Schizosaccharomyces pombe: one gene and its partners. Changing the gene in region 1 together with any one later gene gives a genetic interaction. Each region holds a gene or a part of one and is shown on either strand. Other genes may lie near its edges.

Region 1 (4,410 bases):
GTAAAACGCATTCAATGTCAAGCAAACGAGCCGTTCCGGGAAGATCTCAGCCATACGATGTTTTGCTTGCAGCTTGTCAAAAGAAAAACCAAGTAAAAATACAACGACAAATCCTCGAAACTGCAAAAGAATCCGAAGATAATCAGCATCAAGCGCCTGTTGATTCTGATGAAGAAGTCAGTTTCATTATGAATGTTCTCCAGAAATCTGGCAATCAGCCTTTGGAGCAAAAAGTTTTTTTACCCGTAAAACGTCGCCATTCGTATTTTCGTACTAGAGAGTTAATAGCTGCTGCATTTCGACATGGTGAGCAGGGTATGCAAGTTACTGGTACTATATTGGGACGAGTGATTCCTTTTAGTGCCCGCCAACCACTATAAAGAAATTCTTTTGATTTTGCTTCGGTTGATGATTTAAATTCTTTATGAGATTATAGTTTACATTTTGGTCTACTTGACCACGCATTTTCGACTTTTTAATTTTCTCCTCCGTTCATCTAGTTTCTATTTCATTAATTTTTTCATTTTTTATTTTGTATATTGCACCATACGGTCTTAACATTTGGAATAATCAAGTAGAAGTTAATAAACTATAAAAATACCAATAGAACCCAAAACCAATAATCAATTCTAAAAAAAAGAAAGAAACAAGTATTCTCCAAAAATATATGTACACGTTTGTAGTCTAATTTTTTAAAAGAAACAGCAAAGTTTATGGTATCAGTTTGTTGCAAATCCTCAGTCTCACAATCAATCCTTTAGCCCTCTAAATCATCCTTGTTTTCAGCCGAATCTTCTTCTTCATCGCTAGAAAGAACATCAGGCAATTTTGAGGAAACCTCTTGCGTCTTTTCAGTAATGCCTATATCTGATAAATAACTGAAATCTTCTTCATTATAACTGTCAATAAAAGACAAAAAACAATGAAATCTAAACCGGTTAGTTAATTTAAGAAAAAAATATACTTACACTTGTTTACGAGCTTCTTCGAGAAAAATTTTATCATAAATATGAGCATGCTTAAAAGCAGTAATTTTTTGCTCGTACTTTGTAAAGTCGATAGGATCACGATTATTCTCTGGAGCTTTATGTTCATTATAACCTTTAAAAAACGGTGACTCTAATAAAAGTCCAAAACCAGGTCCCTTGGGTATGTTAATTTTTGTTTTTTTAAAGGCATCTTGTATGCGCTCAACAGGACAACCCGTTCGTACAACTAAAATAGCAAGCGCAATCATCTTTCTAATTTGGTGCAACATAAAAGATTGACCATGAACTTTACATGAAATCCATTCTGTATCGCCAATCATGAATGGATCAGATGCCTAGAATGTTAGAAACAAGACTTGTCAAGAATACTATAAATACAAAGAAGATAATTCTTACTTACAGTAAAAGAACGGATCACGCGATTACTATTCTTCTGATGAAATGCTTGCCCCACAGTAAAATTGTGAAAGTTATGAACTCCAACATATTGGTTTAAAGTTTCTCGAATAACGGACAGCCTATCTGCGGAAATACGGTAATTTTTTAATTTAAGTACTTCAATGTGCTTAAGTGCACGTTCGAGACGATAACTGGGATCAATCTTGGAACCAGCAGATTCGTCTTCAACAGAGTCAGGCTTTAAAAACTCGTTTACAATAGCAGAGGAATCGGAATCCATATCTGGATTAGTTTTAGCGGAAACTCCTGCTTCAGAGCCCTTATTATTTTCCGAATTAGCAAGAGCAGCAGCTCCCCTTTTAGAATATGGATTTACGAAGCCTTCAGGATCCTGTTCATAAAGGCTCAAAATCTCTTTGGCTGCAATATCATAATCATCCCAAAATTCCTTTCCTTCTTCATAAAATAATGAACGACTGAGTTGATTTATATTTTCCTTGTTAATTGGCTCAGCAGGCATGGGAGAATTCTTCATAATGCAATTTCCAAGTATGGACGAAGGTTTCGGTGGAACAAAAGCATACGTTGGAACCATATATTCATATATACGAGATTCGCAATAAGTCCTTGGGTTAAAAGAATTAATAGTACGGATCACATCCCATAAGCGAATGGAAGGAGGGAGGTGTTCGTTCACTTTTTCAATTAACTTCTCATCTTCCATTATAAGTTTGAGACTGATAACATTTCCAGCGGCATGAACTCCTTTATCAGTTCTTGCGGCTCTTGCTAAAGCAACTTTCTTTGGGTCATCAGCGTTATAAGAAGAAACGGCACCAGCCTTCACAAAAGCATCAAAAAGATCTCCTTCGATTGTTTTACTAGGAGGATTCAATTGCATACCATGATATCCGCTACCACAATAACCTACAAGACAGGCGACCTTTCTTTTCGGCTTTTTTTCTCCAACTACCAAATTCTCTGGCCGACCTTCTCCATTGTATATAGAATTAGGTCGGTTCCTTTTCGCTTCTCGACGATCACCATTGTACCAAGTGCGTTTACCACCACGTCCCATGCTGTAGTTAATATTATTTGTTTTTGATGAAAACGCAATTTACGCTGCACAGGTAAAAATTCATTTAAACATAGTAGAGTATATTTTCTTAATAATGAAATGCAAGGAATCGTTATTCATTCAATAAGATAAGAGTATAATTACACGATGGTTCACTAAACAATTATAAAACAATATACTTCGCTTACCTTAAGTTAAAAGTTTTAAGAATTAAAAAGCTAAATATTGTATCGCATTTCGAGCAAAAACAGATTGATGAAGCATTCAAACCAAAAAAAAATAATCAGCCTGAAAAAGGAATGACTTAAGACTGACTATTAATTGTTGCTTATTCTCTGTCTCTGTGTTTTATCTTTTGTTACCAGTTGTCGAAGTAAAGGCCAAATTGAAACCCGTGACTAATCCTTCCAATAACTAAGAAAAGTATACCTATTATCAATTTTATATCAAAAATCTAGTCCTTTTCATCGTTCATAAACCTCATTTTTTATTTTTTTCTTCCACACGTTACGAACAAAACCGCAAATTGTCAGCAATACTACACTAAGCTATGATATATTACGTTGCGTTTCACTATATGTCACATGTTCTAATTATATATCGTACCATGTATGATACGATATTGATATTGATCTTAATTAAAATCTATTAATATGTATATTATCTGAATACTATAAATAGAGCTACTGCTGAACCTCGTTCCTCAGTTCAGTTATGAGCTATATTAGTGATAGGTAACATTATAACCCAGTTAATACAATACCTATACTCAGTTGCTACTTATACAACCTGTGTATTGTAATATAATAGATCACAAGGAAAACTCACCGCAGTTCTACGTATCTTTAAATCAGATACCAAACTGCGTAGCCGACACAAATGAACTATAACGAACTAATATTAGTTGCAACTTACGACGGCTTTACTTGAGCTCTTTAAATTTAACGTATTCGCAACAATCACAGTGCGTGTAAAACACCCACTAGAATGTTGACACCATTGTGCATTTTATTATTTTTCTCAAATATTGGAATTGGTGCTTAATAACTCATATTGGTATATCAATATATTAAATTATTTGACATTTAAGATACTAATGAAATAGTTATTTCATTCGTGTGCTTTAGCCGTTATCATCGGACGGTTTACATAAAATATCAGCGTTTTTATAATTACGCGTGCTTCTTTTTTCTTTTTGTCGTATTTAAAAAGCCAAGGAAATTGTTTTTGATAATCTGTTTTTTACATGGAAAACGATGAACAAATAGATGAGACAGAAGTATGACCAATATGGACTGGTAGACGCAGGTGTTTTGAAATTATTATGCTGACGATTGTTTAAAGAATTTTGCAATTGGAAAATATGCCATTTTATTTGTGATTGAAGTTTCTCCCAGTATGCTTGATCCTGTCGATGAATTTACTCCCAGCTCTTTGCAGATGGCACTTATTTGTGCGTACCAGCTGGCGGCTCAAAGAGTAATCACAAATCCCAGCGACATAATGGGTGTATTGCTCTATGGTACTGTAAGTTTAATGCTGCATTTAAATTCACCGACGTTTACTTCTGCCATTAAATGTCTCTAACCACAGCGCAGGAGTCCTCTACGGGCCGATTCGCAAATCAAATGATGCTTTTAGACATTGATCCTCCTGATGCTGAACGTATTAAAAGCTTACAAAGCTTTGAAAAAGGTAAAAGCTTTTAACCGATTACTTTCTTTCATGCTTTTTCCCCACTGATTACTAATTTTGTTCAATTGTTTAAGATTTCCAATTCTCAAAAGAAAAATTCAAACCATGCTCTTGTCAAGTTTCTCTGTCTAGTGTACTTTATCATTGCAGTGTTATATTTACTACTAAAGCTGAAAATTTTGAAAAACGCTTATTTTTAATTACAGATAATGACCATCCTGCTTGGGATGCAACTGAACGCGATATTAT
Region 2 (3,809 bases), on another chromosome or scaffold:
TTGAGCAAGTTCATCTTCGATTCTTAAAGTCTTATCGTTTAATATCGGTTTTCTTGCTTTTTCCAAATTCCAAACACCTGTGTATTTCAAAACATCTTTCTTTTCTATTTGTAAAGGCAAACTTGTTGCTTGTCATTTTGTGGCACTGCAGGTTTTGAGTAATTTTGGACAAGAACCACCTATTCTAGATTTTTAAAAACAAATATATAGGTGGATAGTCATAATAGTTCATTTTTAATTAATGAATGTATTTGATAAATAAAAGTAAACGGTTTAAAGACGCTCCTGTTGTGACGGCGTTCATTTAAATGTTTCATTTCGAGATATATTCGGGTGCGTTTTCTTGTTATTATGTCTACATGAGTCTTCTTCTGCATGCGGTTAAGTATTTCTAATTAATTAGTTTAATACCTTTACTTCTGGTAAACTTGAAATTTATCGAGGCAATACTGGATTGACTTGCTTTGCCAGACAGATCAACGAGCCATTACTTGAGTGAAGCAATAGTCAATGAATAAATACTAAAAATGCAAACATTTGAAGTTTATTAATGGATTGAAGATTCTAAACAATATTATTATTGGATTAAGCCGTACTCAAAAATTGAGTTGAAAAAGTATCAAATTCTTGCGCCTTTTCATTTAAATGATCGTTCAACTTCAGTGTAGAAGAATTTGTAAAAGATGAAAGTATATTCTTGGCTTGAGAAGGAGCATCAGGGCCTAAATCCGTGATTGCAGTAGTCATATTTGATAGTGCCTCCTCGTAATTTGGTTGAGAATCGAGGGCAGTTTTCAGCGAGCTCAAAGCCTCTTCAGGTCTCAACAAGCATATGTCTGCACACGCCATACCAGTTAAAGTCATTGGATTGCTATCAGTTCCGTTTAACTCTTCAAAAACATAAAATGCATCATTATAGGATTCGACGCCTCCACTAACTATTTTAATCCAAGATTGTGCCAGCTGTAGTACAATTTCTTCATCAGCCCAATCCAAAGCCTGTTTCAATGTCTGTTCAGCAGCTTCAATTTTGTGCTCTCGTAAATGAATGTATACTTGAAGCGCCACCGCCTCCAAGTTCTCTACTGACTTCTTTAATAAATCCATTGCATCATCAAAAGAACCATTTTTAATTTGAAAAATAGCTCCTAATGTTTGTACCACACTGTCTGAATTGCCATGCTGGTCAATAATTAACTCCATGTTCCCCTCCCCAGCCAGCGCCAGAATAGCAGCTGATCCAGGCGTTTTTTGAGTTAAAATACTTTGGATTGATTCTAAACTTTCACCTAAAGCTAATTTTGCCCTTGCCATATAAATTTCGGTCAATTCAAGACCTTTTTCAGACATGGATGTCGTGTCAATTTCAAATAACTTTGTATAGTTTCCACTATAAAAGTATTGACGAACAAAATACAGTTCTATCAAATATTAGTTGTTATTTAATTCCCAACTCATCTCTTACCATTAGATAAACTAGCCTCCCATGAAAACATGTTAAAAGTTTTAATTATGTTGGGCGATGTGTGGAGTAGAGAGTATGTGGGTTAATGGTGTTTGTACATGAGTAACCCTACAACAAAATGTAAAGCAAACGAACTTTCCATCAAGACTTGTAATTTTTCTAATTGCTCCGAAGCCTAATATAATATATTTCGCAGTCAGCAAGTAAAATGTTCGATAATTGAGATCCTTTTTCTACAGGTCGTTGTTGTATTCAAGAATCACCAGCAAACTACATTTTGGTCCACTGGCTTTTATATACAATGCAACAAATCTAGTGTTATAAATCAATACATGTTAACAAAGCGAACATTATAATTTATTAGAATAACAAATGGCGAGCTTTAAAAAAAAAGAAAAAAAAAAATTGTAAAACCTAGACTACCTTTGAAAGTTTGAGTTTAACTCAAGGTAACTAATCAATATATATATATATATATACTTCCTTTATTCCTCACATATTGTACTAAACCCAAAAAAAAAAAGGTTGTGGTCTTTTTTATGGCAGTATCAAAGTACAGAGTAAAACACTCTACAACTCCAATGTCTATCTAAATTCTAAAAATTAAATCCAAATCAAAAAGGCCAAAACAAACTTAAAAGTTGGAAGGGTATAAAACAGAGTCTGCATAAGCAAACGTATCTTTGATGGAGCGAGGAGAAACGAATCGAGACAGAATCATTCCGCTACCAGCTTTATCGTTAGTACCACTGGCACGAGCACCACCAAAAGGTTGTTCACCAACAACAGCACCAGTACACTTATCATTGATATAGAAGTTACCAGCGGCATTACGGAGACGGTCAGTCAACTTTCTGACAACAACACGGTCCTGAGCGAAGATGGATCCGGTTAAACCATAAGGAGTGGTAGTATCGATGAGATCGCAAACAGCGTCTAAGTTGTCATCCTCATATACATAAACAGACAGTACGGGGCCGAACAATTCGTTAACGAATATATCATGTTTAGGGTTTTTAGAAAGTAAAACGGTAGGTTCAACAAAGAAACCTTCGGAATCATCAGCTTTACCGCCAGCCAAAACTTCAATTTCAGAATCGGAAGCAGCACTCTCAAGAACCTTCTTCAGTTTGTTAAAGCTTGCTTGATGGATAACAGGGCCCACAAAATTAGCAAAATCAGTTAAAGGAGCACCGACCTTAAGAGACTTGACCTGTTTGGTAAGCTCATCACGGAAACCATTTTCCCAAGCATACTTAGAAACGTAAAGACGAGAAAGGGCAGAGCACTTTTGGCCTTGATATTCGAAAGCAGCACGAACAGCATTAACAACGGCACTCTTAATTTCAGCGGAAGAATGTACAAGATGAAAGTTCTTACCACCAGTCTCACCGACGATTTTGGGGTAAGTGCGGTATTTTCCGTTGGCAACATTCTCGCCAATTGTTCCCCAAAGGCTACGAAAGACGGCTGTGCTACCAGTAAAATGAAGACCAGCAAACTCAGGGTGGTTGAAACAAACCTTGGAGACTTCAACAGCGTCACCAGGGATAAATTGAAGTGCTCCAGCGGGAAGACCAGCTTCACGGAAGATTTGGTAAACAATGTAGCTAGAAAGGACTGCATGGTCAGAAGGCTTCATTAAAACGACGTTGCCCATGAGAAGGGGGGCAGCAGCCAAGTTACCAGCAATAGCTGTAAAGTTGAAAGGAGTAATGGCATAAACGAAACCTTCCAAAGGACGATATTCCATACGGTTCCAGACACCAGGAGTGTTTTCGGGAGGTTGGCTGGCATATAATTCACTAGCATACTTGGTATTGAAGCGAAGGAAGTCAATGATCTCCATTCCAGCGTCAATTTCAGCTTGCCAGATGTTCTTACCCTGGCCAATCATTGTAGCAGCCATGAGCTTGTAACGGTACTTGGTGCTTATCAAATGAGCAGCCTTCAAGAAAATGGCAGAACGGTCAGCAAAAGGTAAGGATTCCCAGACCTTCTTTCCACGAAGTGCTGCCTCAATGGCATCTTCAACGTGCTTGGCACCAGCACGGTGATAGCGAGCAACGACCTTTTTGTGCTCAAAAGGACAACGCTGCTCACCAATGGTATTCGTTTCAACTTCCTTACCATCAATGATGACAGGGATAGTGACAGGTAATTCAGCCTCTAACTCCTTGTAGGCCTTGACGATTCCCTCTCTGTCAGCACTATTGGGACCATAGTGTTTAGGAGGCTCGTTCTTAATGGCAGGTAATTTGAACTCAGCAAATTGTGACATTTTACTTAAAAATGAAATAAATCTAATAAGTATTAATATCGCATAAATAAAACGTAGAAAACC
Region 3 (3,722 bases), on another chromosome or scaffold:
CGAACTATTCTACCCCATCTATTATCATCAATTAGAACAGATGCGATACAAAAATAGAGATCACTTGACTGAAAACCAAAGTTGTAATCTACAATCAGTCATTCAATAACAATTACTTTTCAAAGGCCTGGCCTAGTGTCCGGGCTCTCATATCCGTTCCGAAATTTCGAATATACAAAGTATGCCCAGGTTTATAATTAAACCCTGTTGGCGTATTTGATGGTGCATTAGACATTAGCTTAAATTGCAAAATCTAATGCTTTCACTAGGCTTTCTACTTTAACCAAAAAATCAAAGCTATCACGACGTAAGAAGCACTAGTCATAACCACACAGTATAGCAAGAGGACAGGTAATGTTGTGCAGCAATGCAAGCACATATTAGAGCAGTTGTCTGCTAAGGTATTTATATTTAACTATGGATAATGACTTTTCTTTGAGCTATATAAATTTAATGATTAAAATGTTAAAAAGGGATCAGCTAAATTTAAAGTTAAGTTTTTAGTTTAAGTCAATTGGTCCCTCCGTTTCAAATCCCAGTTTTTCCCATAACTGCTTAGGGTTTTCCAAGGAATCAGTAATTAAATGCCATAAATCATAAAACATTTTCTTTCTGTTTGAGAATCCTTTTTTTGCAAAATCGTAGTTTTTATCAGTCTTTTGCATTGCTTCCTTGGAAATTTGTTTAACGGTACCATTTCGAAGAGATTCGAGTTTTGAGCTGGTTTCTTCAATTTCTTTATCAATGCTCTGAATTTTTTCACGAATTTCGGCTGGACTGAGTGAGTTATTTAAAGCTTGTAATTCTTTTAGAGTTAGCATAAAACAAGTGCTGTGTACGCTCAAAACAAATGAACGATACCATCAATAAAACTTTGATCTGTTTTAAATCATGCATATTATGTGAAGTATCATTCTACATTTTAAAGAATAGCATTTATTTACTGACCAATGCATTTCTCTTTGTATAGAGTTTTAACAACTGAAACCTCATCTTTTAGTTCTTGAATTTGCTTCTCCATTTCAGCCAATTCTTCAGGAGTAGCAGCTGCCAAGTCATCTTGAAGACAAACGAACACACTTTGTTTTCCTCAGTAATCGTTAGTAATCTGTTTAACTAATTTTTCAGTACCATATAGTTTCCCATGGATTAGTCCAGTGTCGCGTAGCTGCTCCAATGCTTTCTGCGCGACCTGTTTACTGACAACATTTTTCAAATTAGCACTAACGTCAGCTTTTAACAAAATTGTCAGCTTCGATTTTTTTAATGTATGTTCTTACTTGCAGAATAGGGACGATTCGTTTTTCGTAAATACTCGTAAACAAGTTTTTCAGCTGCGATTGATTAGCTGAATACCAATGCCTTTTGTCAATATTATACCTTCCTCTCCTTTAATAGGTTTCGCTTTTACTTCTTTCGCCTTAGCCATTTGCTACAATTGCGATGTGTGAGGAAAATAGTAAAAGCGCGATGTAGCATCAAACATTTATATATAATATTTACGCGTGGCGGAGACAACGCGTTTTCCCCAAGCCATTCTCCTTTGTTCTTAGCTAAACTAAGGAAGAAAATCCATGAGAAAGGATTTTAACTATTTTACGCACCTATATAAAGTACTCATAACGATGGGTTGAATTGCGCATCGTGTCAATGAAAGAAGGTTGCATAGGATAGTGAGACATTAGTACAAAGAATTCGATTCCTAAAGCTATGCTAGAAATTTTATTAAATTAAATAATTTCCAACCTTGCGAAGGGCTATATTATAGTATGTTTGTACTTTTTTAGCATATTCGGCAACGTCAAAAACACTTCACAAATTGAATGAAACCGATATCGTCGAATACTACGAAGCGCTTTTGAGAAACGTTTAAGCTACACTCTTGATTTTGCATCTAATACCTATTATTAAGTACTGTTCTCTGTAAACATACAAATCTGTTTCCTTTTTAGAAAAGCACAAATTTCCTGTCTGTAAATGCGATAAGTCTTTGAAGACCATTGTGAAAAGATTCAAAACAATGGCCGAATGACTCTTTAAAATACATTCCTTTCTTCAACTAAATCCTTGGTATTTTCTTTCTTTAAAAATCATAATTTTAACAAGAAAATATATGGAGCTAACAGACAAACATCTGAACATTCGCAGAGTAACTTAGTAAACATTAGAAAGGAAGAGCTAACGAGTGTTGTTATGCCATTGCTAGTTTACTATAGGAAAAGTATCATCTGTTTCATGATATTTATATAAACAAAATTATGCAAAACCTGTCTTTTTACAATAATTTAACTTAAATAGTTATATATTTGTTAATGAATACTGAAAATGTTGTCAGGATATATTACATCCTCGACATCACACTACCTTATATGTTTGTTAACTTGTCTTCCGCTTACACCAAAACATGAGTACTGCTTCCAATAGGGTTTCCACACAAATTGTGGATGAACATAAACAATTCAACAATGAATTACCAAAGTTTATGCAAAGCGTAGGACTGTTAGATGCTGGTTTCAACTATCATGTTGTTGCCGTTTTGGGTTCCCAATCTACTGGCAAGAGTAAGTAGATTAAAATCAACTTGAGAGTTCTATATCCAACCAATGTTATAACATCCTTTTAAATTGGATACTTAAAGCTTTCACTGAGCAAATTTGATTAACTCTATGATTAGGTACATTGCTAAATAATTTATTTGGGACTTCATTTTCAGTAATGGATGCTTCCAAAAGGCAACAAACTACTAAAGGTAAATCTATTATTTCTTTTTAATTAAAACATCTGAGCTTGCTGCTAATTTTTGTTAGGTATTTGGTTGTCGAAGGCAAACAATTCGCCTATTCTTGTAATGGATGTAGAAGGCACCGATGGTAGAGAGCGCGGTGAAGATCAGGTAAGATTTTAATGCGAACTAATTTGTTACTATTAGTTACACATTAGTATTTCCTTTACTCATAATTGATCAATATTTTCTTTTGGAGTCATTACTAACCAACCTAGGATTTTGAAAGAAAATCAGCTTTATTTTCCATTTCAACTAGTGAAGTAATTATCGTTAATATGTGGGAAAATCAGGTTGGTCTATACCAAGGCTCAAACATGGCATTACTTAAAACAGTACTAGAAGTCAATTTACAACTTTTTCATAACAAAAAAGAAAGGTGCTTGCTTCAATTTGTTATTCGGGATTTTTTGGGAAATACTTCAATGGAAAATTTAGCAGATACTATTATGACCGATTTGAATAACATTTGGGCATCCCTTTCGAAACCAGAAGGATTCGAAAATTCCGTAATTAATGACTTTTTTGATGTTGGCTTCACTGGTTTACCACATAAGATTTTATGTTCTGATGCTTTCAGTGAAGCTGTTGATAGTTTGCGTGAAAGATTTGTGGATAACAATAATTCTGATTACATATTTAATGTGAGTTATCATAAAAAAATCCCCGCTGATGGTTTTTCTCTTTATACTCGTGAGATATGGGACACCATTGAAAACAACAAGGACCTTGATTTACCTACACAACAGCAATTGCTTGCTCAATATCGTTGCGATGAGATTATTACTGAAGTAATGGAACCTTTTTCTACTGCTTGTACTATTTTACAAAAAGAGTTTTTACCCGGTAATTTATGCAAGGACCTTCCTACCAAGCTCTTAAACATGTTTGAAACTGTTATCGAAGCTTATGATCGACAGGCTAGTAGATACAACGTGCA

What was found.
Region 2: mutations in pus1 (region 1) and sec28 together harm fitness more than expected from each alone (negative genetic interaction), as found in Schizosaccharomyces pombe (one large-scale study listed by BioGRID).
Region 3: mutations in pus1 (region 1) and meu13 together harm fitness less than expected from each alone (positive genetic interaction), as found in Schizosaccharomyces pombe (one large-scale study listed by BioGRID).

What each region holds. Positions count from the first base shown.
Region 1 is NC_003421.2:2,118,721-2,123,130, reverse strand, and holds pus1 (tRNA/U2 snRNA pseudouridine synthase Lsp1), read right to left. Parts: upstream 2,517-4,410; 5' UTR 2,467-2,516; coding exon 1,390-2,466; intron 1,325-1,389; coding exon 969-1,324; intron 930-968; coding exon 758-929; 3' UTR 501-757; downstream 1-500. Other genes in the region: SAGA complex deubiquitinating submodule subunit Sgf73, read left to right, coding at 1-380; Ku domain protein Pku70 , read left to right, coding at 3,713-3,745, 3,811-3,993, 4,065-4,161, 4,236-4,410. UniProt on the Schizosaccharomyces pombe protein: Formation of pseudouridine at positions 27 and 28 in the anticodon stem and loop of transfer RNAs; at positions 34 and 36 of intron-containing precursor tRNA(Ile) and at position 35 in the intron-containing tRNA(Tyr).
Region 2 is NC_003423.3:2,325,193-2,329,001, reverse strand, and holds sec28 (coatomer epsilon subunit protein), read right to left. Parts: upstream 1,529-3,809; 5' UTR 1,497-1,528; coding exon 1,466-1,496; exon of another isoform or gene 1,422-1,465; coding exon 586-1,421; 3' UTR 501-585; downstream 1-500. Other genes in the region: put2 (delta-1-pyrroline-5-carboxylate dehydrogenase), read right to left, coding at 2,100-3,746. UniProt on the Schizosaccharomyces pombe protein: The coatomer is a cytosolic protein complex that binds to dilysine motifs and reversibly associates with Golgi non-clathrin-coated vesicles, which further mediate biosynthetic protein transport from the ER, via the Golgi up to the trans Golgi network.
Region 3 is NC_003424.3:975,416-979,137, reverse strand, and holds meu13 (homologous-pairing protein 2), read right to left. Parts: upstream 1,430-3,722; coding exon 1,381-1,429; intron 1,335-1,380; coding exon 1,281-1,334; intron 1,234-1,280; coding exon 1,132-1,233; intron 1,090-1,131; coding exon 949-1,089; intron 861-948; exon of another isoform or gene 806-860; coding exon 501-805; downstream 1-500. Other genes in the region: SPOM_SPAC222.18 (Srp1 family splicing factor), read right to left, coding at 1-18, 117-235; GTP-binding protein Sey1, read left to right, coding at 2,405-2,561, 2,675-2,749, 2,808-2,893, 3,001-3,722. UniProt on the Schizosaccharomyces pombe protein: Required for proper homologous pairing and efficient cross-over and intragenic recombination during meiosis. Acts indirectly in a process facilitating homologous recombination. Acts during mid- to late-horse-tail period.